Xenopus tropicalis: one gene and its partner. The protein of the gene in region 1 interacts with the protein of each later gene in a biochemical or structural test. Links are inferred from orthologs where the notes say so. Each region holds a gene or a part of one and is shown in the gene's direction. Other genes may lie near its edges. The genes, in order: msh4 and mlh3.

Region 1 (3,833 bases):
AGTAACATTTATTTATTATAACAGGTCTGTTAAAGGGCACCTATCAGGAAAAAAATATTTCCCCCACTAGGGGGAATAATACATATATATATATACTGTACCTCCTGCCGGTGCTTTGCCTTCAGCACTGGGGGGATCACTATACTAATAATTGTTTATTGTTGATTGAAGGTTGTGGGTTCCTACACTGGTATAATGGTAAATGTTGTGTATTACCTAAATCTGAAGTTCAAAGTTAGGATAGGATGGGACCTTCATAAGAAATCATCTCTTCAAATATTGTAGGTAAATAACATATTTTCAAATATTGTAGGTAATTACAAAACTTAAGATTCTGACACCTCTTGAAATATTGATGCCAAATACTGCTTGTGATAGTGGCACTGCAAGTAAATTGTTTCTTCTTATAGCGGAAAATTTCAAGGTAATTCTTATGTATTTTTTATTTTTTTACATCTTAAAAAATTATGAATGTATATTTGAGTATACCTGTTTGTACCTATTCCTTTCACTTTAAACTAAAACATATATTTTTTAGAAGCCCTACAGCAAGATATATTCCAAAGGTATAAATAACATTTTAGGATGGTGGTGGATAGTTGCGACAGGTGTAGCTAGGTCAACTGAAAAACGTAAACTGGGTATTCTACTGTAAATTCCTTATATTACAAGCAAGAAGCAAATTTGCTCCTGTAATGTTTTAGCTGTATTTGTTGAACAAAAATACTTTATCATAGTTCCTTTACCCTAGAGGCACATGTTAAGTCTTAAGTTTTTTCCTACACTTTACTAATGGAGCTACAGTTTTACCAACACATAGTACTGACTTGTATTATTTTAAAGTAGATAAAGTACACTTTATCACCCTACGTGTAATAGGATTACGTTTTTATTTTATATAAGTTCATAATAATGCTTACCTTTTACTGTCTGTGCTACTTAACATAATGTGCTGAATTGGCTCTGCCACATTTTTGGTTGTCCTCCCCTCTCCTAGAGTCCCGACGTACAAAATATATGTATATTTTTGGTGCAAACTACTAAGAAATGCCATTTTATTTCAGGGGTGTTCCCTTGCACTGGCAAAGCTATAGAGGAAGCAGACCACCGCTATCCCACCTGCGGCCAGGGAGAGGGGGAAGTAGGTGGGCAGGGATTTCCAGGGAGGGAACCATCAAGTTACACCACTGTTCCATTGACAAGGATTATTGGAGCCAATACATATTTTTTTATTCCAAACCTTTCCCTTCCTGGATCTTCCAATGTAATGTAAAACAATGGCATATCAATATCAATGGCATATGATAATCTAATGAAAGTCTTGGGGGTTTAGAGAGCTTTTTTTTTTTTTTATAAAATTTCTCTGGAGCACCCCGACCAGATATTGAAGTTTAATTAAGGGAAGAATTTTGTCAACTAAATGATGCCAAATCAAAGTAGTAGGAAGGAATGGACCAATCCAGTGTACAAAATAGTTTTACCAAAGTTTAACTTTGGGGTCCATCATCCTTTTCCAATTGAGATCAAAACCTCTGGCTTATAACTGGTAATTATTTAGAAGGACCAGAACAAATGAAAGAAGTCTTCCCCAGTCTCGTTACATGTCTTTTAGCTCTCCGTAGCTAGCCTGCCAATCTTAGCAAGTTTAACTGGTAATGCAATACATGCAACTGTGAGTCTATGTAATGCATAAACTAAGATGCCCTATAAATTAAGCCTCCCAAATTGTAAATGGAAAGCATGTTACAACTGAAAATAAGTTGTTTGGGAAAAGTTGCCTACAATTATGTTGCACATAAACAGAGCCATCTAGTGGCCTAAAATGTATCAACACTTGTTTAGCACAAAATAGTAATATTGATAAAAACACAGAAAAATAAGTAAATTTTCTGGCAGGTCATGTCAGTGGTCTACAAATTATGATATCTGTCTTGAGAAGAACTATATTACTAAAGCTCACATGGGGGGGCCGCATCAATAGTTAAAAAAATGCAAATTCAGCCCTACTTTAAACAGCTGGTTTCAGAAGCCAGAGCCAGACGTGCAGAGAACAGCCAAAACATTGCTTTCAGTAGTAAATACATTTACAACAACCACAATTATTTAATATATATTGTAAGGTAGCTTAAAATTAATTTTTTTTGTAAAAAGTAGCTCTTGATTGGAAGGTCCCTTTTAAAATTACCAGATACCCTGATAAAGTACAACCTGAGCCAAGTTTTTAATTTTGCCTCATTGTAAAAATGTCTCTTAGGCTAGAAATGCTAAACCATAAATTTTGGGATTGTGTAACCACCAAAGGTTACCACAGGAGTGGTACTGTCTGCCCTCTCCATCATCTTTTCTACTGATTCAAAGATCATGCCTTGAGCTGCTGTAAGTTACATGAGTTTAATTACTGACTTACAGTATATATACAGTTTAAAATGTAAAAACTACAAGGCTGGTTATTTCAGATTTACATTACATGAAATCATAGCAATCAGTGCATTCTGAAGCAGAACTGATGAATAATCAGCCCTATTGCATTAGCTTCTGTGACAGATGAAACCTCATCAGGAATCATTGGGTTTCTGATGATTTAAAGGAGAAGGAAAGGCTAGTAAAGAGTTAATCTCAAGCTGCAGGCATACCTCCAGTTGTCTCAATAGTGCACTTAAGTCTCCCCATATTTCACCTGTTCAGAAGATCTGAAGCCAAACAGGAAGAAAAAATGCTGAGCTGTGTAAAGAAAGTTCCCAAAATGCCTCACTCCTGCACAGACACCCAGACCAAACTTAACATGCTCAGTTATTTAGACTGAGTCAGCTTCCTGCTGATTGGCTCAGATCCACATTCCTAAGGGGGGGAGTAAGTTCTTTGCATTCTTGAGGGAGGGGGGAGCAGGAGAGAGAAGAAAGCTGCGTGTCTCTGGCACAGGAATTACAGACACAACTTATCTTTTTTCAGAGAAGTCAGTGCAGCGTTTCTGTGAGTGCTTATGGCTGTATTTACATAGACCTTTCTGATAAAGCTTACTTAGTTTTTACCTTTCTTTCTCCTTTAAAGGAGAACTATACCCTCGACCAATCTACTATAAAAATATACTGCATAGAACAGTTCATATGTAAAACCCTGCTTCACCTAATTAAAAAATATACCTTTTTAATAGTATGTGCCATTGGGTAATCCTAAATAGAAAATTCCCATTTTATGTACTAAGGGACACCCCCTGGGATCATACTATTCATAATGCACACAAACATACGAAGGGCACACACACATACATGTTAGGTCACATCAGCCAATTAAAGGGCAAAGTTATGTCTTTTACTCCCATGCTTCTTTCTGTTACAGTTAGGGATGAATTATTTCTGGTCAGGTGATCTCTAAAAGGAGCACACAGAGCATCACAAAATGTTGGCTCATGGTAAAAGATGTAAAAGGGCAATATTTACATATATATATATTCCCATTTGGTAAGATTCTTTAATAGGCCACTGAATATGATATAAACCATGTCGGTTAAGTATTCATTCTGGGCAGAGCTGTGGAGTCAGAAGCAATTTGGGTAGTTGGAGTCTCAAAAATGTACCAACTCCTAATATATTTAAAACTGTAATGAAAATGCATACAATATATTACTATGGTGGCTCAGTGAGAAGCACTTCTGCCATGCAGTGCTGGGGTCCTGAGTTCAATCCCAGCCAGGGCACTATCTGCGAGGTTTGTATGTTCTCCCTGTGTCTGTGTGGGTTTCCTCTGGGTACTTCAATTTCCTCTCACATTCCAAAAGCATACAGGCAGATTATTTACTTTAGTCGGGGATACCGACTATGTAAAATAGTAAAATG
Region 2 (3,833 bases), on another chromosome or scaffold:
TTGCACCCGAGCTAAGAGCTGAAGCAGAGTGCCACCCTGGGTTCGCTATATATATATATATCAAACTCAACAGTAGAAAGCACTCACAGCTACAGCATCAGTCAGGATGATGACGATCCTGTGGTGATCGAAACGCGTAGATGGTATGCTGAAATAAATCACTGACCTGATTGATGCTGTAGCTGTGAGTGCTTTCTACTGTTGAGTTTGATGCATTATTTTTGTTAGCACCCAGCCTTTGCCCCGATAGGCACTCACCAGTATCGGGGCAACGGCTGGGCGCTGACAAAAATAATGCATCAAACTCAACAGTAGAAAGCACTCACAGCTATAGCATCAATCAAGTCAGTGATTTATTTCAGCATACCATCATGATATATATATATATATATATATATATATATATACAGTGGAGGAAATAATTATTTGACCCCTCACTGATTTTGTAAGTTTGTCCAATGACAAAGAAATGAAAAGTCTCAGAACAGTATCATTTCAATGGTAGGTTTATTTTAACAGTGGCAGATAGCACATCAAAAGGAAAATCGAAAAAATAACTTTAAATAAAAGATAGCAACTGATTTGCATTTCATTGAGTGAAATAAGTTTTTGAACCCTCTAACAAAAAAAGACTTAATACTTAGTGGAAAAACCCTTGTTTGCAAGCACAGAGGTCAAACGTTTCTTGTAATTGATGACCAAGTTTGCGCACATTTTAGGAGGAATGTTGGTCCACTCCTCTTTGCAGATCATCTCTAAATCCCTAAGGTTTCGAGGCTGTCTTTGTGCAACTCTGAGCTTGAGCTCCCTCCATAGGTTTTCTATTGGATTAAGGTCCGGAGACTGACTAGGCCACTCCATGACCTTAATGTGCTTCTTCTTGAGCCACTCCTTTGTTGCCTTTGCTGTATGTTTTGGGTCATTGTCGTGCTGGAACACCCATCCACGACCCATTTTCAGTTTCCTGGCAGAGGGAAGGAGGTTGTCGTTCAGGATTTCACGATGCATGGCTCCGTCCATTTTCCCGTTAATGCGAATAAGTTGTCCTGTGCCCTTAGCAGAAAAACACCCCCAAAGCAAAATGTTTCCACCCCCATGCTTGACGGTGGGGACGGTGTTTTGGGGGTCATAGGCAGCATTTTTCTTCCTCCAAACACAACGAGTTGAGTTAATGCCAAAGAGCTCTATTTTGGTCTCATCAGACCACAGCACCTTCTCCCAGTCACTCACAGAATCATTCAGGTGTTCATTGGCAAACTTCAGATGGGCCTGCACATGTGCCTTCTTGAGCAGGGGGACCTTGCGAGCCCTGCAGGATTTTAATCCATTGCGGTGTAATGTGTTTACAATGGTTTTCTTGGTGACTGTGGTCCCTGCTAATTTGAGGTCATTAACTAACTCCTCCCGTGTAGTTCTAGGATGCTTTTTCACCTTTCTCAGAATCATTGACACCCCACGAGGTGAGATCTTGCGTGGAGCCCCAGAGCGAGGTCGATTGATGGTCATTTTGTGGTCCTTCCATTTTCGAACAATCGCACCAACAGTTGTCACCTTCTCTCCCAGCTTCTTGCTAATGGTTTTGTAGCCCATTCCAGCCTTGTGCAGGTCTACAATTTTGTCTCTGACATCCTTGGACAGCTCTTGGTCTTTCCCATGTTGGAGAGTTTGGAGTCTGCTTGATTGATTGATTCTGTGGACAGGTGTCTTTTATACAGGTGACTAGTTAAGACAGGTGTCCTTAATGAGGTTGACTAATTGAGTAGAAGTGTCTAACCACTCTGTGGGAGCCAGAACTCTTAATGGTTGGTAGGGGTTCAAAAACTTATTTCACTCAATGAAATGCAAATCAGTTGCTATCTTTTATTTAAAGTTATTTTTTTGATTTTCCTTTTGATGTGCTATCTGCCACTGTTAAAATAAACCTACCATTGAAATGATACTGTTCTGAGACTTTTCATTTCTTTGTCATTGGACAAACTTACAAAATCAGTGAGGGGTCAAATAATTATTTCCTCCACTGTATATATATATATATATATATATAAAACAGTCCACACGACAGCACCACACTCCAAAATCTGCTGCTCTGCAGCTGCCCCTGTGCACGGGATATCACATAAATATCAAAATAAAACAGCCAGCACCAAGGGTCTTTGTATTTCAAAAAATCTCTTGTGTATTATAATTGCACGTACAACCGACGTTTCGGTCCCTTTTGGGACCTTGAAAAAGGTCCCAAAAGGGACCGAAACGTCGGTTGTACATGCAATTATAATACACGAGATTTTTTGAAATACAAAGACCCTTGGTGCTGGCTGTTTTATTTTGATATATATATATATATATATATATATATATATATATATACGAATTGGGAAAAGAAGCCGCACTCACAGGACTTAAGTACTGTGAGTGCGGCTTCTTTTCCCAATTCGTGTTCATTCTAATTTTGAGGATTGCACCCAGGCCAAGCTGTGGATTATACGTGAGTGCCAGTATTTCATTTTGTTTTTATATATATATATATATATATATATATATATATATATATATATATATATAATGTGTGTATATATATAATGTGTGTATATATATATATATATATATATATAATGTATATATATATATATAATGTATATATGCTTTTCTTTTATAGGGTCCTTGCTAGGAGTTCGCAAAGTATTGGCTTGTCTCTGTCATTTCCTGATACTCAAGGTCCATGTGTCCTGGTGTCAGCAGTCCCTGTGTGTTTTGTAGAGAGAGAAGCAAATGAATTACATCGTAGAAGGTCAACAGTAGCTAAAAACCTTGTGCAGGTATTGTATTATTGCTGAAAAAATATAATTATTAATTTGAGTTTTGTATTTTATAAGCAGGCCTAGTAAACGGTGTAGTTATGGAACTTGACATAATGCCTGCAGATAAAATCCTGATTTAGCTGTCCATTAAATTTCGATTGTATATCTTTATTTATAAGCGCTACTTATGTATGCAGCACTGTACAGTAGAATACATTAATACAAACGGGGTTATTAAGATTTAATAAGATTGATAAATACACAGTATAACAATAAATACAAATAAATAAATACAAGATACAGTTGCAATAAGTTAAGAGCCAAAGACACAAGAGGATGGAGGTCCCTGCCCTGTAGAGCTTACAATCTATTAAACAAACATGGAAACCTAGGTATTATGTATTAAAATTGTATGACTTTTTCCACATCTGTACATATTCTTTGAACTGGCTGTGGTCTTTTAGTCACTCAAATGCAGCAACCACAGAAAGTCTCATTTGTCTTATCTGTGTTTCAGGAGTTTCTACAAGAACAGGTGGAGGTAAGTAAACCCTTGTGTTCTTGTGTATTGTATAAGTAAATACATTTTACACTTGTTATCCCATGTTCAGTCTTGCCCTTACAAGAACAATTTTCTGTTCATAAAGGAGAAGTTGCCTTGTACAACATTTTACTGAACCCATGTATTGCAAAGCTCTCCTAGCTGACTACAACAAGGTGTCTGTGCTTCCTGTAAGGCAATGCTTTATTTAAATGTTATTGCAGTTATAATTACCTAGTTTTGCCCCTGTGAGCCCTGCACTTGTTTGTGGAGCCTACAGAAACACAAATAATGACAAAACTGCCAACATTTAACAGCAGATGCTAGAAATTGCCTTTTTTTCTAGATGATACAAAAATATATAATTCTAATTAAAAAAAAAATTCTAAATATATTCAGTTAAAAATTCTACTCCCTTTTTGAAATAACAGAAATACCTTAAACCCAAATTGTTTGTTTCGTTTTTTTTAATGCCCAGGGTGGCAGTACTCCTT

What was found.
Region 2: the proteins of msh4 (region 1) and mlh3 form a complex in vitro, tested with the Homo sapiens proteins (2 studies listed by BioGRID). The link is inferred for Xenopus tropicalis from reciprocal best matches to the Homo sapiens genes MSH4 and MLH3.

The regions. Positions count from the first base shown.
Region 1 is NC_030680.2:80,957,524-80,961,356, forward strand, and holds part of msh4 (mutS protein homolog 4), read left to right. Parts: intron 1-313; coding exon 314-424; intron 425-3,833. UniProt on the Homo sapiens protein: Involved in meiotic recombination. Required for reciprocal recombination and proper segregation of homologous chromosomes at meiosis.
Region 2 is NC_030684.2:82,223,595-82,227,427, reverse strand, and holds part of mlh3 (DNA mismatch repair protein Mlh3), read left to right. Parts: intron 1-2,656; coding exon 2,657-2,816; intron 2,817-3,315; coding exon 3,316-3,339; intron 3,340-3,833. UniProt on the Homo sapiens protein: Probably involved in the repair of mismatches in DNA.